2 linked regions of the Lepisosteus oculatus genome follow. The protein of the gene in region 1 purifies or fractionates together with the protein of each later gene. This does not show direct contact. Links are inferred from orthologs where the notes say so. Each region holds a gene or a part of one and is shown on either strand. Other genes may lie near its edges.

The links.
Region 2: the proteins of epn1a (region 1) and phgdh purify together in Homo sapiens (affinity purification with mass spectrometry; 3 studies listed by BioGRID and IntAct, with this or other methods). This does not show direct contact. The link is inferred for Lepisosteus oculatus from reciprocal best matches to the Homo sapiens genes EPN1 and PHGDH.

The regions. Positions count from the first base shown.
Region 1 is NC_090718.1:1,391,954-1,404,099, reverse strand, and holds the start of epn1a (epsin-1), read right to left. Parts: upstream 5,471-12,146; 5' UTR 5,163-5,470; intron 3,040-5,162; 5' UTR 2,898-3,039; intron 2,790-2,897; 5' UTR 2,757-2,789; coding exon 2,688-2,756; intron 2,435-2,687; coding exon 2,276-2,434; intron 1,827-2,275; coding exon 1,577-1,826; intron 1,169-1,576; coding exon 999-1,168; intron 1-998. Other genes in the region: uncharacterized serine/threonine-protein kinase SBK3, read left to right, coding at 10,469-10,474, 10,627-10,771, 11,038-11,240, 11,337-12,146. UniProt on the Homo sapiens protein: Binds to membranes enriched in phosphatidylinositol 4,5-bisphosphate (PtdIns(4,5)P2). Modifies membrane curvature and facilitates the formation of clathrin-coated invaginations. Regulates receptor-mediated endocytosis.
Region 2 is NC_090707.1:15,881,836-15,893,109, forward strand, and holds the start of phgdh (D-3-phosphoglycerate dehydrogenase), read left to right. Parts: upstream 1-6,607; 5' UTR 6,608-7,134; coding exon 7,135-7,272; intron 7,273-8,515; coding exon 8,516-8,667; intron 8,668-8,903; coding exon 8,904-8,969; intron 8,970-9,192; coding exon 9,193-9,247; intron 9,248-10,031; coding exon 10,032-10,130; intron 10,131-10,330; coding exon 10,331-10,463; intron 10,464-10,934; coding exon 10,935-11,083; intron 11,084-11,274. Other genes in the region: cfap210 (cilia- and flagella- associated protein 210), read right to left, coding at 1-139, 439-644, 1,013-1,186, 1,762-1,973, 2,232-2,298; pyridoxal phosphate phosphatase PHOSPHO2, read left to right, coding at 3,228-3,950. UniProt on the Homo sapiens protein: Catalyzes the reversible oxidation of 3-phospho-D-glycerate to 3-phosphonooxypyruvate, the first step of the phosphorylated L-serine biosynthesis pathway.

The sequences.
Region 1 (12,146 bases):
GGGATCCGCAGCCCGTCAGTCAGTCGGACTCCCGGTGCGCAGCAGACCGATCCGCTCCGGGATCCGCAGCCCGTCAGTCAGTCGGACTCCCGGTGCGCAGCAGACCGATCCGCTCCGGGATCCGCAGCCCGTCAGTCAGTCGGACTCCCGGTGCGCAGCAGACCGATCCGCTCCGGGATCCACAGCCGGTCCGGATAAGACCCCGGGGACAGACGGCTACTGGACAGTCCTGCTCGAGACCAGCGGGACAGCGCCGGCTTCACTGCACGGTCCTGACTGAGGATTCGCAAGACCCTGTCCAGGGCGACCCAGCGGAAGCGACTGCGTGTCATCAGGACTCTCTCCGCGACCCCTGACCTGACCCCTGACCTTCAGGTGCTCCTCCCTGCCGAGGGAGAGAGCCACCTCCAGCTGCGTGTCCTCGGGGCCACACGCGGGGCCCGACTGCACAGACAGAGGCCAGGGGGGGCATCTTCACTACAGCTCCCAGCACCCTTACCAACACCGCTGCTGCCCCACCCTTCCCAGGCCCCCCTGCCCAAGAAAGGCATCATGGGAAGGGCATTTCATTTGGATTGACCTGATCTGCAAGGAAAAAGCCTGTGCTGACAGGCAAAACCATGAAGCACGGGCGGCAGTGTGCCAACAGATCGGTGAAAACTGCCAACAATATAGTCCCCAACACATTCTGCTTGGTAGACCTCAGCTCTCACTGACGCCCCACAAACACCCTGTCTCAAATCTCACTACACCTCCTAGCTGTGCCCAGCAGGGACCCTTAGCCTGAAGTGGCACTTAGGCTCAGTGCATAATGGGATTTGTAGGCAACTCAGTCAACCATAGCCCTGCTTCTGCCGAACACGCCATCACGAAAACTACAGCTCCCAGCATGCTTTATTCAGCACTCCCTTGTTAGGTCTCGGTGTCCTGGAAGCCTGAAGACCCAAGGGACAGTGACCCCGCCGACACAGAAAAGCACCATGGGAAGTGTAGTCTACCTGCTCGGCCTCCTCCTTGCTCATGGCCAGGGCCAGCTGGAGCTGCAGATCCTCCTCCCCCGAGCTCTGAGGCCACGCCTGCTCGGGATCGGCCCCGCCTCCGGGGCCTGGGGGGGCGGGGCCCAGGGAGGGCCCGCCCCCAAGGCCTGGCGCAGAGGGAGCAGAGGACGCTGGGGGAGAAAAGGAGGCGTTAACATAGGCGCTGAGAGAGAGGGGAGAGGGAAATGGGGTTCACTCCCCAGTACAGTCCTTAAACCACACTCCCATTCGGTCTGTCGAACTACAGCTCCCAGCATGCCCCACAACAGACCCCCTAACTGCTCCCCAAGAAACTACTGCCACCACACTTTTTGCTTTGCGACATAGTTCGCCCAGCGAACTACTCCTCCCAGTATGCCTCCCGCAAAGAAAGAACCAGAACCCATCTGGGAGTTGCATCTCTCAACCCTCATGCGGAATATAGTTAAGTGAAAAAGAGTGCACAAAAACTACAGTTCCCAGCATGCCTCAGGCCAGATGCTGCAGGGCTCTGCCTGAGCCTGCTGCCGAGAGCATGCTGGGACGTGTAGTCCCCTCACCGCTGGAGGTCTGGGCCATCTTCTCCTTGGTCTTGAGGGCGTGGACCCGCTCCTCGCGCAGGCGCTCCTCGTCCTTGAGCAGCGCCACCAGCTGCTTGGCCTTCTCGCGCACGTTCACGCCCTGGTCCTTGCCGTCGCGGTCCACGTACTGGAAGTCCTTCAGCGTCTGCACGGCGTAGATGTTCTCCCGGCACTGCTGGGCCACGCGCTCCGAGCCCGTCTTGATCAGGTACTCCATCAGGGTCATGGCCTGGCGGAGGGAGAGCGCGGCCCGTCACTGACCCCGCCCCCGTGACCTCTGACCCTTCGCTCATGTCTACCCAGACCGCCCCCCCGGAGCCCAGCGGGGCGAGCCTGGCCAGGACCTGCAGGGAGACTCCTGGGACAGCTCAGCCTGCTGCAGGGAGAGGTGTCAGTGGGGCCAGCAGGGGGCGCTCACCCAGTACAGTGACGGGGACACTAGACTGGAAACAGGCGCCGTCCTTCGGATGAGACGTCAAACCGAGGTCCTGACTCTCTGTGGTCATGAACAATCCTGGGGCGTCTCTCGAGAGGAGTAGGGGTGTTACCCCAGTGTCCTGGTCAAATTTCCCCCTGGTCTTTACCCGTCACGGCCTCCTAATAACCCCCCTCTCTGAACTGGCCCCATCCCTCTGCGCGTGGCGGCCGTGCCGGTGGGGGGACCCCAACACTGCTCACCTTGTAGACGTGGCGCCAGTTCTTGCCGTGGTCGTTGAGCCTCTTCCAAACCATGCTCATGATCTCCGAGAAGGCCACCACGTTGTAGGTCAGGTCGGCGATCTCCGACATCAGGGAGCTGGAGGGGCCCCAGGGGTCGTTGGAGGTCGCCTCGCGCACCTGCGAGAGGAGGGGGGGCGGTGCCACGTCAGCTCCTGTCCGCTGCCCCCCTGACTGGCCCCCCTGCTGAGACCCCGACTGACCAACTGACCCCTGAACGATCCAACCACTGAGCCCTTGACTGACCCACCCGCTGACCCGAACCCCCGCTGAGACCCTGACCGCCAGGGCACACCACCGCCCAGCCACTGACTAACACACCCCTTTGCCCACCCCTGACCCACCCACACCGTCGCCACGGAGACAGACTCACCTTGATCTCGGCCTCAGAGTAGTTGTGCACAATGTTTTTCACTTGTCGCCGTAGCGATGAGGTCGACATGGCAACCACCTGTCCGTCTGTCCTTGCCTCTGTCTAAAGAGAGACGCAGGCTGAGACAGAGACCTGGACACACACACACACACAGGGACACGCAGGGGGTGAATTCCCTCTCTCCTCCGCTCCCGTCAGGGGGATCCTCACCTGTGAAAGTCGAAGCTCGCAGTCTGTCTCGCTCGCTCTCTCTCTCTCTCTCCACGCGTTTACGGATCGCTGTGTCCCTGTCTGCCGGCCTCTCGCCTCGACGACATTGGTCCCGGAACCAAGCAATTGAAGTCACCAAACCCTGCAGGGGAAGGGAACCGCATTCAGCGCCGCACCATCGTTTGGGACTACAAAATTCTGGGAAATGTAGTTCCCACCCCCCGGCACTGCCAGCCTAGGCCCCAGTGACAGTTAGAGCCCTGAGCCTCACACTGTGGGCAGAGCAGGTCAAGAGTGCGAGGTGCACAGCGTCCAGACCCACACCGACCCACCCACTGCACCGCAGTCTGATCCTCTCCAGCTTCACAGCCCTACAGTCCCAGTGGGCAGCAGTCTGATCCGCTCCAGGTGTTGCAGTGTTGTTCCAGTCCCAGTGCGCAGCAGTCTGATCCGCTCCAGGTGTGACGGTGTTGTTCCAATCCCAGTGCGCAGCAGTCTGATCCGCTCCAGGTGTGACGGTGTTGTTCCAGTCCCAGTGCGCAGCAGTCTGATCCGCTCCAGGTGTGACGGTGTTGTTCCAGTCCCAGTGCGCAGCAGTCTGATCCGCTCCAGGTGTGACGGTGTTGTTCCAGTCCCAGTGCGCAGCAGTCTGATCCGCTCCAAGTGTGACGGTGTTGTTACAGTCCCAGTGCGCAGCAGTCTGATCCGCTCCAGGTGTGACGGTGTTGTTACAGTCCCAGTGTGCACCAGTCTGATCCGCTCCAGGTGTGACGGTGTTGTTACAGTCCCAGTGGGCACCAGTCTGATCCGCTCCAGGTGTGACGGTGTTGTTACAGTCCCAGTGGGCAGCAGTCTGATCCGCTCCAGGTGTGACGGTGTTGTTACAGTCCCAGTGGGCAGCAGTCTGATCCGCTCCAAGTGTGACGGTGTTGTTACAGTCCCAGTGTGCACCAGTCTGATCCGCTCCAAGTGTGACGGTGTTGTTACAGTCCCAGTGGGCAGCAGTCTGATCCGCTCCAGGTGTGACGGTGTTGTTACAGTCCCAGTGGGCAGCAGTCTCATCCGCTCCAGGTGTGACGGTGTTGTTACAGTCCCAGTGGGCAGCAGTCTCATCCGCTCCAGGTGTGACGGTGTTGTTACAGTCCCAGTGCGCAGCAGTCTGATCCGCTCCAGGTGTGGCGGTGTTGTTACAGTCCCAGTGCGCAGCAGTCTGATCCGCTCCAGGTGTGGCGGTGTTGTTACAGTCCCAGTGCGCAGCAGTCTGATCCGCTCCAGGTGTGGCGGTGTTGTTTCAGTCCCAGTGCGCAGCAGTCTGATCCGCTCCAGGTGTTAGTGTTGTTTCAGTCCCAGTGCGCAGCAGTCTGATCCGCTCCAGGTGTGACGGTGTTGTTACAGTCCCAGTGTGCAGCAGTCTGATCCGCTCCAGGTGTGGCGGTGTTGTTACAGTCCCAGTGTGCAGCAGTCTGATCCGCTCCAGGTGTGACGGTGTTGTTACAGTCCCAGTGTGCAGCAGTCTGATCCGCTCCAGGTGTCCCGGTGTTGTTACAGTCCCAGTGCGCAGCAGTCTGATCCGCTCCAGGTGTCCCGGTGTTGTTTCAGTCCCAGTGTGTAGCAGTCTGATCCGCTCCAGGTGTGACGGTGTTGTTACAGTCCCAGTGTGTAGCAGTCTGATCCGCTCCAGGTGTGGCGGTGTTGTTTCAGTCCCAGTGCGCAGCAGTCTGATCCGCTCCAGGTGTTAGTGTTGTTACAGTCCCAGTGTGCAGCAGTCTGATCCGCTCCAGGTGTGACAGTGTTGTTACAGTCCCAGTGTGCAGCAGTCTGATCCGCTCCAGGTGTGACGGTGTTGTTACAGTCCCAGTGTGTAACAGTCTGATCCACTCCAGGTGTGACAGTGTTGTTACAGTCCCAGTGTGCAGCAGTCTGATCCGCTCCAGGTGTGACGGTGTTGTTACAATCCCGGATCTGTGTGCCGATCCTGCACGATCAGACAGGACGCCCCTGTGACCCTGCAGGCGTCTCTGCTGGGAAGCCCCGGCACCCCAAAACACTGCTTCCCGAATCGGGGCGGGGATGGACCGATTTCCCAAAAGCCCCATGACCGGAGAGTCTCTCGCCCTGACACGTGCACGCGCCCAGCGGCTCCCTCGCGCCGAGGCACGCACACGCACGCGCGCCCATTGCCGCCCCCACCTCCCCGAGTCTCTGCCCCCCTCTCCCGCACGGTGACGGAGCAGGGCGCCCCCCGACACCCCCGCGCCCGCTTACCTGTCCCCGCCGGGCGCCTCAGCCGCGCTGCGCCATGGAGCCGCGCGTCAGGAGCGAGAAGATCCACAGGGGGGCGGCGGGACGGGCGGGACGCGACATCCACTCCTCTCCCCTCGGGCGTGACGGAGCCCAGCGGTCCCCGCTGCCGTGCGGCCTGATCGCTGACACCCCGGGCAAGCGCCGCCGCTCTGCTTTTATCGCGGCTCGGATCGGAACTGACCCTTCCAAGCCCCACTTCGCTGGGAACGGCAAGATGGCGCCACTTCCGCTTCCGCTTCCGCCCCCTGCCTCACGTGCCCCCCGGGTGGGCGGGGCCGGCTGCCCAGGGAGGGGTGGACGCGTAGATCACCGTGTAGGGCAGACATGCTTCTGCCATCTAAGAGCTCCTCTGCTGTAGATCGTACACACCAGCTTGCTCTTAGACTGCACAGGACGCACATGAGCTAGCTCTTACATTGAATAATATAGACAACTTGTAGCTCTTGTGCTGTATAATGCAGAGATCCTGTAGCCCTTATACTGCATCATCCTGACATCGGCTGGCTCTAAAACTGAATCGTTAAGATATCAGGGATCTCGTATACTGTTTAGTATAAACATTAGCTGGCTCTTATACTGTAAGTTAGCTCTTATACTGTGTAGTGTAGAGATCAGTGAGCTCTTATACTGTAGTGTAGAGATCAGCTAGCTCTTATGCTGCATATTATTGACATTGCACTCGTGTGCTGTAAACTGAAGTATGCTGAAGTATTTAACTGATAACGAGAGGGTCGATGTACAGCAGGCTACACCCTGCACTTATTGGACACACTGTATACACCCTGCCTGATACAGGTGGAGCATAAACTGGGTAGTGTTTATAATAATGCAATGTTTATCAGGTACAATTCAAGGATGTTCAAGTAACATACAACCATATACTTCCAATTCCTATCTATGGAACAGTCTGCAGGGCTCATGTATTACTTACAATACACTACTAGATTATACTATTAGATTATAGACTGTTGCCATACCGAACACAACCATGAATCAGAAAACATTGACATGGAGAGAGTTTACTTGTTTTAAAACAGCTAACTGTTTGAGGGAAACCATGAGTTTAACAATAAAGACAATATGCCTTCTTATGGAGAATTTTTCATTTACAAAACTGATACACAGAAGAGTTACAAAGTAAAAGATGGTCTGTTTTAAGTGCAACTGTTATTCACAAAAGCCACCACTAGAGGCACTGTATAAACACACCTGGAGCCCAGAGTCTTACTGAACACACTGTATACACACACACACACCTGGAGTCCAGACTCTTACTGGACACACTGTATAAACACACACCTGGAGTCCAGACTCTTACTGGACACACTGTATACACACACACACACCTGGAGTCCAGACTCTAACTGGACACACTGTATAAACACACACCTGGAGTCCAGACTCTTACTGGACACACTGTATACACACACACACACACCTGGAGTCCAGACTCTTACTGGACACACTGTATACACACACACACGCCTGGAGTCCAGACTCTTACTGGACACACTGTATACACACACACACACACCTGGAGTCCAGACTCTTACTGGACACACTGTATATATACACACACACACACCTGGAGTCCAGACTCTTACTGGACACACTGTATACACACACACACCTGGAGTCCAGACTCTTACTGGACACACTGTATACACACACACACCTGGAGTCCAGACTCTTACTGGACACACTGTATACACACACACACACCAGGAGTCCAGACTCTTACTGGACACACTGTATACACACACACACACCTGGAATCCAGACTCTTACTGGACACACTGTATACACACACACACACCTGGAGTCCAGACTCTCACTGAACACACTGTATACACACACACCTGGAGTCCAGTCTCTTACTGGACACACTGTATACACACACACCAGGAGTCCAGACTCTTACTGGACACACTGTATACACACACACACCTGGAGTCCAGACTCTTACTGGACACACTGTATATACACACACACACCTGGAGTCCAGACTCTTACTGGACACACTGTATACACACACACCTGGAGTCCAGACTCTTACTGGACACACTGTATACACACACACACCTGGAGTCCAGACTCTTATTGGACACACTGTATACACACACACACCTGTAGTCCAGACTCTTACTGGACACACTGTATACACACACACACCTGGAGTCCAGACTCTTATTGGACACACTGTATACACACACACACCTGGAGTCCAGACTCTTACTGGACACACTGTATATACACACACACCTGGAGTCCAGACTCTTACTGGACACACTGTATACACACACACACCTGGAGTCCAGACTCTTACTGGACACACTGTATACACACAAACACACCTGGAGTCCAGACTCTTACTGGACACACTGTATACACACCCACACACACCTGGAGTCCAGACTCTTACTGGACACACTGTATACACACACACACACCTGGAGTCCGGACTCTTACTGGACACACTGTATACTCACACACACACACCTGGAGTCCAGACTCTTACTGGACACACTGTATACACACACACACACCTGGAGTCCGGACTCTTACTGGACACACTGTATACACACACACACACCTGGAGTCCAGACTCTTACTGGACACACTGTATATACACACACACACACCTGGAGTCCAGACTCTTACTGGACACACTGTATACACACACACACACACCTGGAGTCCAGACTCTTACTGGACACACTGTATACACACACACACCTGGAGTCCAGACTCTTACTGGACACACTGTATATACACACACACACACCTGGAGTCCAGACTCTTACTGGACACACTGTATACACACACACACACACCTGGAGTCCAGACTCTTACTGGACACACTGTATACACACACACACACCTGGAGTCCGGACTCTTACTGGACACACTGTATACTCACACACACACACCTGGAGTCCAGACTCTTACTGGACACACTGTATACACACACACACACCTGGAGTCCGGACTCTTACTGGACACACTGTATACACACACACACACCTGGAGTCCAGACTCTTACTGGACACACTGTATACACACACACACACACCTGGAGTCCAGACTCTTACTGGACACACTGTACACACACACACACCTGGAGTCCAGACTCTTACTGGACACACTGTATACACACACACACCTGGAGTCCAGACTCTTACTGGACACACTGTATACACACACACACACCTGGAGTCCAGACTCTTACTGGACACACTGTATACACACACACACCTGGAGTCTGAAACCTTCTCATCACTGCGGCGATCCTGCTGACTGATGGGATGTGTCTCCAGGCTGCAGGCTGGCTGCCGAGAGCGAGAAGCAGAGCGTCCAGCTGGAGCCTTTCTGTCCATGAAGAGGTTCCCGGTCCCAGCCGGAGCCTCGCTGTGCAAGCGGAGCGTCTGTCCCAGCAGTCATTCCCGCCAAGCGCCTGCTGCCTCGCCTGCTCCTCCGGGGAGCGCTAGCGGGGCCGCGGAGGCGCTGAGAGGACCTCGTGTGTTGTGTTGGCATGGCGATGTCGGGGGCAGATGACCTCATGTGTTGTGTTGGCATGGCGATGTCGGAGAGAGATGACCTCATGTGTTGTGTTGGCATGGCGATGGCTGGCAGAGGCCCCCAGCTGTTACGGCTGTCAACGAGTAACGCTGTGCTGAAAGATCGGGGGGGCGAGGGGGGCAGGGAGAGAGATCGGGGGGCCAGGGAGAGAGATCGGGGGGCCAGGGAGAGAGATCGGGGGGACAGGGAGAGAGATCGGGGGGCTGAGAGATCAGGGGGGCAGGGAGAGATTGGGGGGGCAGAGAGAGAAGGATCAGGGGGCAGGGATAGAGATCGGGGGGCAGAGAGAGAGAGATCAGGGGGGCAGGGAGAAAGATTAGGGGGGGCAGAGAGAGAGAGATCGGGGGCCAGGGTCTGAGGGATCGGGGGGACAGGGAGAGAGATCAGGGGGACAGGGAGAGAGATCAGGGGGCAGAGAGAGAAGGATCAGGGGGACAGGGAGAAAGATTAGGGGGGGCGGAGAGAGAGAGATCAGGGGGCAGGGAGAGATCGGGGGTGCAGAGAGCGAGAGATCGGGGGGGCAGAGAGAGAGAGATCGGGGGGGCAGGGAGAGATCGGGGGGGCAGGGAGAGAGAGGCACTTTGAGTCAGAGTGGGCATTATCACACACAAACAGCACTCCGAGAGCCAGCGGAGAGAGAGGGGGGCGTGTGGTGGAGAGGGTGAAATATGACACACACTCGTGTCACCCAAGCATGTTAATTAGCACATGTTGTTATCTAATTAAGATTCCCTGCTCCTGCTGATTGAAACACAGCTCAATCCCTCAGGCTGGCTGACAGGGGCTCCGGCAGGAGGGACAGAGCCGGACAATATCTCCGGCGAGCCGAGGAGAGAGAGGCTGGGGCACGCGACAGCTCACAGCCAGCGGCTGCTGACAGAGAGACTGCAGAGCCAGAGGGAGAGAGCACAGCCTCACAGCTGCAGAGAGAGAGAGACAGAGTCCAGGAGACAGGGCAGGGACAGAGAGTCTCAGACAGAGCAGGGACAGAGAGTCTCAGACTGAGCAGGGACAGAGAGTCTCAGAGACAGAGCAGGGATAGAGAGTCTCAGACTGAGCAGGGACAGAGAGTCTCAGAGACAGAGCAGGGACAGAGAGTCTCAGACTGAGCAGGGACAGAGAGTCTCAGAGACAGAGCAGGGACAGAGAGTCTCAGAGACAGAGCAGGGACAGAGAGTCTCAGACTGAGCAGGGACAGAGAGTCTCAGACTGAGCAGGGACAGAGAGTCTCAGACAGAGCAGGGACAGAGAGTCTCAGACAGAGCAGGGACAGAGAGTCTCAGACTGAGCAGGGACAGAGAGTCTCAGACAGAGCAGGGACAGAGAGTCTCAGAGACAGAGCAGGGACAGAGAGTCTCAGACTGAGCAGGGACAGTGAGTCTCAGAGAAAGAAGAGGGACATAGATTCTCAGAGAAAGGACAGGGACAGACAGTCTCAGACAGAGCAGGGACAGAGAGAGGGACAGTCTGATCGGGGAGAGAGTTAGGCGTGTAGACGGGGGAATTGGGAAAAAACAGAAATAAATACAGACACAGATCTGTGTCTTCAAATTCAGTAAACAACTAGTTTCATAGAGACAAGAGAAACAGACAGGCAGACACAGAGAGAGTCAGGCACATACACAGACAGGAGAGAGAGACAGACAGGCTCTGATCCGGTGCCCATGGTTGTCTGAAGACTCTTCACAATGTCAGTAAGTCTTTTTCCTTTCGTTCATTTTCAGTACATTTTTGCGGGTTCCAGTAACTATTGGCTGAGCTGCAATTCCCCCGCTAAGCCTTCAGAAAACGAGGGGGCGCTCTTTCTCACCGGCCTCTCGCTCTTCGTCCTCCTCCTCTTCCTCAGTCAGCTGCAGACAAACTGGAGGAGCTGTGCCAGCTCACTGCCCAGTCCATGGCATCGCTGGAGATAGCGGATCACTTCCGGGTCGTGAAGCAGCTGGGTCAGGGGTCATACGGGAAGGTCATGCTGGCCATTCACAGGCAGAGAGGTGAGCTGTGTCCAGTCAGGGTCACTGTGCTGTAGTGTCCAGTCAGTCAGTGTCTCTGTGCTGTAGTGTCCAGTCAGTCAGTCAGGGTCACTGTGCTGTAGTGTCCAGTCAGTCAGTGTCTCTGTGCTGTAGTGTCCAGTCAGTCAGTCAGGGTCTCTGTGCTGTAGTGTCCAGTCAGTCAGGGTCACTGTGCTGTAGTGTCCAGTTGGTCAGTCAGTGTCCAGCTGGTCAGCTTGTTGCTGTATTGACCCTGTGTGGTGTCTCAGGGACCCCCATGGCTCTGAAGCTGTTCCCGCGGAGCTCCACGCCCCTGCCGGTGTTCCTGCGGGAGTACTGCCTGTCCCTGCGGCTCTGCTCCCACCCCTGCCTGGCGGGCGCGCTGGGCATCGTGTTCACCACGCCGCGCCTCTACGTCTTCGCCCAGCAGGCAGCGCTGTTCGGGGACCTGTACGACATCATCGTCCCCGAGGTGCGTCCCCCGCGCTCGCCTCCCCGCGGCCCCGCGGCGAGCCGTCCCCGGGGCGCCCCCCTTCACTGAACCCCCCATCTCCCGTCCCTCCCGCAGGTCGGGGTGCAGGAGGAGTGCGCCCAGCGCGTCCTGTCCCAGCTGGCCCAGGCCCTGGCCTACCTCCACGCCCTGGGCTTCGTCCACCGGGACGTCAAGCCCGAGAACGTCTTCCTGTGCGACGGGCCCGAGTGCCGCCTGGTCAAGCTCGGCGACTTTGGCCTGGCCCGCCCCCGGGGGTCGAAGTTCATGAGGACGGCCCACCCTTCCCCTTACTGTGCCCCCGAACTGAGCGGCGAGGCCGGGCCAGAGGAGGGGGCAGCGGGCGGGAGGGGGCGTGGCCGCCCAATGAGATGCAGGAGGAGAGGGGAGGGGGCGGAGCCGGAGGAGGGGCGGGGCGGAGACCGGCCAATGGCGAGAGGGAGAGGCGGGGACAGGGGCAGAGGGGGCGCGAGAGGGAACGAGGATCCCAGATCCTCCCTGCCGGAAAAGGACACGGAAGAGGCTGAGGCCGAGACGGGGCCGGGCGCCGCGCCGCCGGCAGAGGGCGCGAGAGAGGAAGAGGAAGGGAGGAGGAAGACGAGGGCGAAGAAGGAGTGGGCGACGGCGGAGCCCACCGTCGACAGCTGGGCTCTGGGGGTGCTGGTGTACTGTCTGCTGACTGGCTGCTTTCCCTGGGAGCAGACCTGCGCCTCGGACCCCCTGTACCGGCGCTACCGCCGCTGGTTCGAGGCCGAGGAGGGGGGGGGCAGGGAGAGGGCGTCCCCGGGGGGCCGATTTTACAACCCGTCAGCGGCGGAGAAACGGGCCGACAGCTCCACCCCAGTCGGGGGCCTCCCTGCGACGGAGGTGGGGGGGGAGCGGGGCCGG
Region 2 (11,274 bases), on another chromosome or scaffold:
TTGTCTCTTTTCTTCTTTCTTCTGTTGTTCCAGTATGCTTTTCTCCCACTCATATAGTCGCGTCATCTTTTGAATTTCTTCTCCCTCTTTTCTGTCCGTCAGCCTCTCAAGCTCTTTAGCACGTTCGTGCTCTTTTATCCTACAAGCACCAGTGACAATGTCATGAACTTATATCTTTCATCCTTTAACATCCTGCAATGCGGCTTCTTCACGACTAATAACACATAAGCTCATCGCAGCATGCTTTTAGGAAAATAAAGTGCTTTTTCAGCTTTTTCCTTGCAAAGCTTGTGACTATAAGAGATGCAGTTATTCTAAAGTCCCTATTATACCATCTTCTGCACAGCATTAGGGATGTACTGTATGTCATTCTGTGATACACTTTATGCAGATAACTACAATGCCACTGACTTTATTAAGAATACTATTCATACTAACTGCTCCATCAGCTTGTCTGTAGTTGCTTTTCTATCATGAAATCTTTGAAGTGCCTTTTGCTGATCCTGGTGAATAGCTTCTTCCTCCTGGTGCAGAATCTGAGCCATTATGTCTTTGTCCATGTCTTTAGTTGCATTCATCTTCTTCTGCTTCAGCTCGATCTGGGCTTCCCTCTCCTTCAGAATCTCAGTCAGCAAGAGAGCACTCTGAAAACAAAAATTAAAGGAAATTCTTTGATATGGAAATTGAACTGTACTTTCTACTTTCCTGAAAATAGCACAGACGTGGGACACAGATTTTAAACGGTTCTTTACAGTGACCCTTACAGTGTTCTGTGAATTGAGACAGAATCACATTGCATCACAACGTTCCTCTTTAAAAGCGAAATAATTCCCATTTTATCATATTTCCAACCCACCAAAGATAACCATATCCAGTCTCCACAGATGAGAAATACGTCATGGGGATAATTAATATACTGTAATATAAGCAGCAGAAGCAATGCAATTTTATACGGTTGTGCACCTCGCACGGCTAAAGATTCCACGAAGGAATGGCAAAAGAGAAAACACACATGAAATCTTTTCACTCGGTCCGTCTGGTAATACTGTTGGGACTTTGCTTTTTCAATGGCTTCCTTTCTCCTCTCAGCTTGGTACTGAGCCTCTTCCAAATCAATCTGCCTCTTCTCCTCTTCTTCAATTTCTTCTCGCAGTTTCTTGGCTTCAATCTTCTTTTGCCTTTGACCCTGCAAATCCGACCAATAAGCATAGGTGTTACGATAAAGCCTTCTTAAGAGCAAACTTTAAACTTCATATATTCCAGCAGATTTGAGGATACATCCAATGATACTGCACATCATTTCCAATTCTATAAATATGAGGCTGATATTCCTACTCCAGCAGTTTGGGGAACATGAGGATACACATAAGAAGAGGCATATTTAGCCCTCTTGATTGTTTTGTGCTGTAATTCCTCTCACATCCATCCAATACAGGGCTCGTGGGGCAGCTGAAGCCTAACCTGGCAAGCAACAGGCACAAGACAGGACACACCCTGGATGTGCTGCCAGTCCATTGCAGGGCAAACACACACAGACAATTTTTTTCCAGGCCAATTTGTCCCAGAAGCCAATTAACTTAGCAGTATGGTATGGATTTGGACTGTGGGAGGAAACCCAAGTGAATACAAACTCCACAAAGACAGCAGCCCAGCAGGAACTGAACCCAGGGTCTCAGCACTGTAGGGCCACAATGCTAAATCACTGAGGGGTGTCACTTCTTGTAAGCAGATCACAATAAAGACACACGTCAGGTGACTCACAGCAATGGTATTAGACCAGTTTTTCACCACTTCTTTGGAGCGCTGGTGCAGAGCCTCTCGCTCCTTCTTCCTCTCCTGGATCAGTTCCAGCTCCCTGTTCACGCTGTGGAGGCTGTCTTGAATCCTGAGCCACTCCGCTTTGGGCAAAACCTTGACTTGGCGGAGATCCGGGAGACGCACGGGCAGATCTGCCCCATCTCTTGTACCCAGTGCTAGAGTCAAATGATAGGAAGGCTGTCAGATGCCAAGATTTTACTTACCTTCCTGTACAACGTTTACATGTTCACAACATGAATAGGAAATTGTATGAACTGATATTCATGCTTCTCAAGAGTCAGGAAACTTTTTTTTTTAATTCGTGTGAAAAAAATATAAGACAGACAGGCATCTTAACCTTTTCAGAAGTAGAAATACTGATCTGCAGTAGAAGCAGACTGAATTGGTTAGCTGAAAATAATCTTTTAACTCACATGTGACATTTTTGTCACTCCCTTTTCGCCTGCCGTACTGCACAACAGACGCGGAAACTGTCGCCATTCTACAACAGGTTTTGTCTCAGTTTTTTGACAACTTTAACCATTTCCCGAGAATACACCTGCATTAAAAACAAAAAACACAGACGAAAGCCAACTACTAACACCTTACACGGCGACCTAGCAACTGAAGACCTAATGCATTGATGACAATGTGTCGCTAGGCAACGAAGTCATAACCCAATCAGGATAAAGTCGCAGGAACAAAGGTGGAGCTATAAGACCTGGCTATAGTCACGTGAATTACTTCACCGGAAGTTTTCTGCATCCGGGTTTCCATAAACCTTGACCTACAATAAAGTAAACGTGACCAATCAGAGTGCAGAACATGTGAAAGAACCAGTGACGAATGCAACCGGCGAGCTCTTTGAGAGAAAGGTGTAGTGCGGTGATAAGCAGTATAGATGCTGCTTTAAACTGGTAATTATCGTTTTCTGTTTACTTCGAGAAACTCATTCTAAATTCCTTTATGTATCTCTTTATGGGGTTGTTTCCTAAAACCTAGCGATGTGATTTTCAAATGCTCGGGGTGTTGTCGGGGTGACACGATTAGAATGTCACGCGTTACACAACAATGTTATTTGTAGATGGAAAATAGCTTTCATTTGGGTGCGAATATTTTCAGATCTCTAGCACTGTGCTTAGAAACGTGTCAGATCGGCATGATCGCTAAAAGTGCTGAAGCATTAATGTTTTTTGATCTGTCGCCAGGTGAAAAGCTGTACTCATGGTGCCTTTATCTATATTTAGAACACTGTGTACAGATCAGGTGATATATAGGGCATAGATTTTCAAATCAAAGCAGGTCATGAAATTCTATAATATTGTATTTTTTAATGCACCCCCCAACGCATTTGCACCAAGACTTACGTTTGATTTCTGTTTTGGGAACAGGACTCTTCTCGCTTCTCGCTTCTCAGTCTGCAGCGGACGATGAAAGCTCTTGTAGTGTTCGACTTCGACCACACGGTGGTGGACGACAATAGTGACACTTGGGTGGTCAGGTGCGTGCCGGAGCAACGCCTGCCGGACTGGCTGGTAAAAACCTACCAAAAAGGTCGCTGGACTGAATACATGGGTCGGGTGTTGTCTTACATCGGTGACCTGGGTGTCAGCGAGGCGGAAATGAGGAGTCTGATGGAAACTATCCCTTTCACACACGGGATGATGGAAGTTCTTAGCTTCGTTGCTCAAAACAAAGACGCCATCGACTGCATCATCATTTCAGATTCCAACACCGTGTTCATCGACTGGATTTTACGGGCGTCCAACGTCCAGGGGGCGGTGGACAGGGTCTTCACCAACCCCGCCTGGTTCGACGAGCGCGGCCGCCTGGCGGTGCGGTGCTTCCACTCGCACGGCTGCGCGCACTGCCCGGTGAACCTGTGCAAAAGAAAAGCGCTGGAGGACTTTCTGGCGAGCCAGCTGCGCGAAGGTGTGCGGTACCGGCGCACGGTTTACGCTGGCGACGGCGGGAATGACCTCTGTCCCGCGAAGAGCCTGACGGAAGGGGACACCGTTATGCCACGAAAGGGCTACACGCTGGACAAACAGCTGGCCGCCAACGCGCGGACCCCGAGCGTCCTGAAAGCGCAAGTCGTGGTCTGGTCCAGCGGGCTTGACATCCTCAAGGAAATCAGTTCCTCTGTGAAATAGTCCTGCCATCACGCTGCTTCATTCTTTACCCCTGATGGTTGTGCCGTCGTTGATGCCGGTGGTGTTTTTTTGTTTTAACATTTGAACGTGTCACGGAAATGTCCCTAGTTGCGTTTCTGATCCCCCTGGCACTTGGCTATGGAGAACTTATTTGGTTACGCATGTACATGACATATTTACATTTCATCACATTTAGATCAGTATTAAATACAGCAACAATGCTGTACTGTTAATCTTGCAAACGAATTGAAAATCGTGTATTAACTCTCATACAGACTAGGGACGAAAGCCACGCTTCAAAGTGTATTTTGAAAGGCACACAAGTTGATCTTTTAATGAATTACAGTATAATTGTATGTTTTTCAAAATAAACAGTGCATTACGTCTTTCGTCATTGTTTTTTTTTCTCCAGTTTTCTTAGAAGTATATTTAATAAGATTTTTCCCAACTGTACAGGGTTTCCTTGTGGCGCAAATAACCAAGTGACCAATACCTGCAGAAGAATTCATAATTTAGAGTCTTCAGTGTCCCAGTTAGTGATGAGATTGCACTCAAGTGTGCGAGTGGATATAAAAGTCAAGGGAAAATTCCACAAGGGTCTTTATTTTATGTGCTCTAAAATCTTAAGAAGCACCAACAAAAGATTGATAATTGGTTAAGATGTAAATTGTAAAACATATTTAAGTGGACAAATATTCAGAAAACCCTTTAAAATGCCATTCACAATACCCTGCTTTGTTTTAACACTGAAGGTACTTATAGAGGTGATTGTAGAAGGCATCTTGAAGATCACACAGTTACATATGTGGTGCAGAGGCAGAGACATTCAAGAGAGACTTAAAATATTTTCCATTCCTTGCACTCATCTTCAGCATTTCACAGGTATGACTGCTTAGTTATGAGTCCCCCCTGTTTAGTTTGGACATTAGGTTTGTTACTCCAAAATGTGCTATGCACCGCAGACAAATGTGTTCTTTCTGCTTGCCTTAAAGAAAATGAAATTACCAGTCATGTGCCATTGGAATTGAATGCACATGGAGGGCATGTGCCTTTTGTAACGTCTGACGAAGGTTTCTTTCATCCATTCTTCACTGCACTTGGCCTCGTAGTACAAAGTATCTTTTTATTTTGTACCTGGAATTGCACTTTTTTTGTGACTCCTTGTTGTAGTGCTGGTATATGACTGTGTTGTGACTATATACCTGTAGTACATCAGCCAGAGTTGCACTTTAAAGTTATGTTGTTTTCCCCTATATACCTGAATTTGACAGAATTGTGGAACCAGATCTTGAACTAATGAGTTTGATGGAGTTCAAGTAGGTGGCTGCGTCAGCATGTGTAGGCTGCAAAGGAACAAGTAAAGGTTTTTTTTTTCCATGCTGAAAAGAGAAGAAAATAAAGACAATGTTTTTGCCACACACTTGAAGAAGGCTCCAGAGCCAAAACGTATTTCTTTTCTTCTCTTTTCAGCATGGAATAGAATTTTACTTGTTCCTAATGAGTTTAATTGCTTTCCTCGTGTTGCACACCATAGATAATTTTATTTGATGTTCTATTTATGTTTCTATATGGTACTGTTGTTCATTTGGTCCAGTAACCCCTGATCCCCTTTTGTGCACATATGTTGATTACCTTTGGTTGAATAAATGAAATTACTCTCACATGGGAATTCTTGTTTTCCTTCTTAGTACTCTTATGTCTCTGTGGCTATGCTAAGCTAAACCCCTGTATATATTCTAAACTCCTAATGTCATTGAGGGACAGAATCTTTATGTTCTTTAAGAAAGTTTACAAATAGAAGGAGATCATTCAGCTCATCTGGCCAAATTTGGTAGCTCATTGATCCGAGTGTCTCATACAGCTCTTTCTTGAAAGAGGCCAGGGTAAGGGCATCTATTACATGGCTGGGCAACCTACAGTAAGTCATCAACAGAAGATCTTTCAAAAGTGCTAACTGGAGCCCCAGTGCAGTCAGTCTTATAGGTCACCTGTTTTTAAAAGCTGGGATCACCAGTGAACTATCGACAAATCGAGCACGCGCTGTAATCTGAGAACTCTGGTCCTCAAGGGCTAAAGACTTTAGGCCTAAACGATCTCTTATTTTTTCACATCAGCCATTTTAAGCGCTTCGAGAAGCCACCTTTGAAGACGCTACATAAAGTGTATATTTATTTAGTTGATCAAGCTGATCCTCCTCCTCTCCACTCTTTCCCACTCCATCCACTGCCCCTTCTCGGCCTGAGAGACAGCCCTGGGGCACCTGGAGGCCTCCTCCTGATAGCACCCTTCTTTTACGACCAGACTCCATTGTGACGATGGTGAAGACTTGTGCCAGGCGAATCTTTTAGCTCTTAGACCTAAGCCCCCCTCTTCCCTGCTGTGTTTGCCCCACGATGTCCTTGTGCCTAGGGGGTGCCGTTGCCTGCACACGGTCCCATTGCTGATGTGGGTGCTGCATTCTTTATCACATCCCTCAACTCCGTCGGCATCACCCCATTTGTCATTTGTTGCATCAGTATTCCTCTGTGAAGCTGGGGAGTGGTAATTTAAGCACTCAGTTCCCACAGAGCCCTGTGCTGCTTTCTCATATAAAACACTAGTTAGACCTGACCTGACTTGTGATAGTGTTTAGTTGTGCAACCACATCACGGTCCCGGTCTGACCAGAATAATGCAGCAGACCAAAGCACTGGAATGTATCACAACGGCGTCGCGAATGATCAAGTCATGAAAACGACGCCAGAGACATTTAGTCAATTAATGTACGTTTTATTTTTTTTCTAAAAACAACTCATGCGTAGCGGAGTACTATGGAAATACACGGTATAGAGTGTACATGTACAGTATAGGAGGGTCAAAATCGCTTGAAAAAAAAGATTTTTAAAACAATGCAAAAGGGGAGCAATTGAAATTACAACTTAAGTTCAAACAAAATGCTATTAATGACGAATTCCCCAAAACGTCCCCGAGTTGTTGTTTTTTTTTTGGGAAAACTCACATCTTTGGCTTTGCTCCAGCAGAAGCTTGAAGAGGCGGGGCTGTTCACAGTCATAAGGGGGCAGTCCGTGCTTGAAATGTAAAAAGAACTGGGACAATTCTGAAGGTCCCCCTTCTCCGCATCAAGTTACAGAAAGAGTCCATTCATTTGTGAAGCCTTGTCTCTCCAGCTCTGACGGTGCTGCAAAATGGCTCTTGTGTCCATCCAACGGCTTTTAATTAGCGAGAGTGTCGATCCATGTTGCAAACAGATTTTGCAAGAAAATGGAATTGATGTGACAGCGAAACAGAATATGAGCAAGGAGGAACTGATCGCTGAAATCAAGGTAGGAGCAGAATGAAATCTCAAGGGTGCGTGGCATCCCGGCATGTAATGCAAGACCGGGAGTACATTTTGTTTTGTTTTAATGCAAATATATTTATTCACGAAGCTCAATTCATCTTAATAAATTATTGATTTATTATTGAACGTGTCTGTTTTAAGACAACGAAAAATAACCAAATCGTGTGTTTTGGGGATGTATTAATAAAAAGAATTAGAGGTAAAATTTACTTTTCTAATACCGATGACCAAGTTTTGAAAAATGACGCAACGGATTTGCTCCGGCTGTTGTCGTGAATTTGGCACTGTTGGATTCCCAATTCAAGTCCCAAAGCTCTTTTTATAAAGTTAATTCCAAGTTGCTAGGAAGCGCCGCCTTCATCATGTTTTCTGATGCAACAGCACCTGTGTGTTTCAGCTCCCTAAACTCTGGTCATGCCACATTTGTAACAGTAATGCAAAAGATTTTTAACAGTAATACAAAATATTTTATACGCTATTTTTTTTATTTTCAATGTTTGCTTTAAGGTTTTACAGTATAATAAAAAATAATTACAATCTTTCTAAACTACAGTTAGATTAGTTTTTATTTTTGTACTTCGTTAATGTTAATGTATACCAATTAATTCTGGATTGTTATAAATCATAAAATGGCTTTGCAAAGTTTTGCATTTTTAATGCAGTGCTCTGTTAATTAAGGCACTAATTAACAGTTTTTAGCTGTGATTGGAGCCACTATTGGCACCGTTGACGGTGACCGTTATGTTGCGCTCAGTGGTTTCGCGTCAGGTGATTGGTTTGGCTTGACCACTGCAAAACTGTAAGGACATGTGTTGTTGGGGTTTTTTTGCGTGTGGGGGGTCTGCATAGGTGCACTAGACAGGTGATATGGTTACAAATGTGTTCAGTTGTTGAGTTTCAGCTGTATTTTGTAAATACAGTCTTGCTTTGTCAGGTGACTGTTCTACAGAAGGATCTACAGAACCAGATAGTGACTGAAATCCCCTCATCCAGCATCGGGGACTGTTTTTTTTATACACTCCATATTAAATCTCAACTTCTACTAGGTTCTGAATTCAAAATGATCACTTATTGCATTTTATTCTAAAGCAACGCTCACGGCAATGTTTAAAAGTTGTGCTCCTGGGATTTAATTAACCCAGACTTAATTAGGGTTACTGCAGTTTAAAGAATCTTAGAATTAGTGTTCTTTTTTTCATTACCTTGAACATGTTTTCTTTCTTCAGGACTATGAAGGGCTGATAGTTCGTTCGGCGACAAAAGTGACAGCAGAAGTCATCAACGCCGCGAGCAAACTGAAGATTATCGGCAGGGCTGGGACTGGTGTCGACAACGTGGACGTAGACGCTGCTACTAAGAAGGGCATTATTGTCATGAAGTAAGAAAAACATCTGTGTTAGCGCCGACTGCTACGTTTACTGCAATTTATGTAGAATACACGTCAGCTGCATGGTGATTTGGAAATACGCGTTTCTACGTTTGCTTGAGATAATTTGCCTTTCCTTTTCATTTAGTAGCATATGAAAATATTCCCTAATTTGTTCCTGATTTTTGTGAAATTCTATGCAATTTGAGTATGAGATATTTCACAATCCTGACTTGCTGTTTCTTCAGTACCCCTAGCGGAAACACCATCAGTGCTGCAGAACTCACCTGTGGGATGGTGATGTGTCTTTCCAGGTGAGACACACATGTGCTTTACCATATTTTCGTTTTTTTTGTAGTGCACAGCTTTGCTGAAGCAAAGTTGAATGCCTTATGTGGAACACTGGAGGACATTAAATGGACTTTCAAGAGTCCTTTGAATCCAGTATCCATTGATATAAATGAACAAACTTAAAGCATTTTCTTGCAGTATAAGGTATACATATCAAAAGGTAACTTAGAAATATTCCTTTTCCAGACACATCCCACAGGCAGCTATGTCCATGAAATCTGGGAACTGGGACCGTAAGAAGGTAAGCTTGGAATGACAGATTGAGATGAGATTGTTTTTCATGCAGAATGTTTTCTAATGCTTGGGCTCCCATGATACCCATTCAATCATGGGAGTTAGAACAGTTATAACAAGAGGAGGCCATTCAGCCATTCAGCCAATTTGGTAGCTGGTAGCTAACTGGTGCAAGAATCTCTTCTGGCTGTTTCTTGAAAGAAACCACATTCATTAACAACATGACTGGGCAACTTGTTCCACACTCCCACAACCCTTTGGGTAAAGCCGCGCCTCCTGTTCACAGTAAATGCAGGTAGTTTCTGCTTCTGTCCTCTGGTATGCATTTCACTGTTCACATTCAGCTGGACTGGCTTTGTCAGGGCCTCTGAGGATACTGAACACTTGTATCAGGTCTCCTTGTTGACTCCTTTGTTCAAGACTGTTCACTGTAGGACCATAAACTCCAGAATGTTTCTGGTTTGCTCTTCTTTGCACTGATTTCAGAGCAACAGTACTGCACCTTTTCTAAAATGTATTGACCAAAGTCGTACACTAACAGAGGCCTTACTAGTTTGATTACAATTTTAGACTTTTAAGAATATAGTCTTGCATTTTTTTTACCATTTTACTTGCTTTTACCACAGTGTCTAGAAGAATCACGTGAGGTGTCAGCATAACCTCCTGTTTTGTTCTCATAGGTTGCCTCTTCTAGCTCAGTATTTCCAACTGTGTATTTTTAGTTCGTGTTTAGAGTTCCTGGACCGTAGTGTCTTTGACGGGATTGTTGTGTTGTTGTGATATTTTCACAGTTTATGGGCTCCGAGCTGTATGGAAAAACCCTTGGAATTGTTGGCCTTGGAAGAATTGGAAAGGAAGTGGCCCTTCGAATGCAGTCTTTTGGCATGAAGGTCGATTTATTTTTTTAATCTGTTTTCGTGTGATATCCATTGTAGAGGCAAATGTACAGCTGCTGCTGCTTTTACAACATTGAAAGTGAAATGTAATGTGTTCTGGTACTGCGCGTAATGTTTTTTTCCCCCAAGTTTCGTTGTGATAGCTATCGCTTAAGAAGGGCTTGTTTTGAATTACCGCATTTTTGTGTCGGTAGACTGTTGGCTATGATCCCATCATTCCTCCAGAAGTTACTGCAACATTTGGAGTCGAGCAGATGTCCCTGGAGCAGCTGTGGCCTCTTTGTGACTATATCACAGTGCACACACCATTAATGCCTTCTACCACTGGTGAGTTTGTATGTAGATGATCCTATGTGCGCAACAGTGTCTGTCATTAAGGACAGAGAATTCTATGTTTGAAATGAATCCAACGTCTTTTGCTTTTCAATTCCTCTGAATCTTGCCTCAGTAACTGGCAAGTAAAATGATTTGTTTGAAGAGGGGCTAGAAAACGATTTAAAAACAAAATACGCTTCTCTGACAAGACGAGAACAATTAATTAGTTGGGTATATTTGTCCAAGAAGGAATAATCATTGTTGTTTTTTTCATATAATTCTGCTTTTTAAAGTATCAGGTTTTTTTCTTGCAGACATTCTCTTTCTTTTTAAAAAATGTAAATATTTAGAATTTACCCTAACTGATGAGCAGGTGATTTAAGTATGTGTGGAGATCTCTGTTTCAGTCTGCAGACATGGGATAAACAAAAGAGCGATGTGTGCTAAGATGAGGTGATTAACTGTTGTCTTCATTCACCCGAGGGCTCTTAAATGACACCACCTTTGCGAGGTGCAAGAAAGGTGTGAAGGTGGTTAACTGTGCCCGCGGGGGCATTATTGATGAAGGAGCCCTTTTGCGTGCCCTGGAGTCTGGCCAGTGTGGGGGTGCAGGCCTGGATGTGTTTGTGGACGTGAGTATCATACTGCAGTGCCATCAAGGGTCAAAACAGAGAAACTGGGACTGTTTCAGATAACAATAATAATAATGATTCCTTGCACTTATATAGCGCTCTTCTGGACACTCCACTCAAAGCGCTTTACTGGTAATGGGGACTCCCCTGATACCCCTAATTTTTCACAGAGAGGCTGGATGAGATCCTTG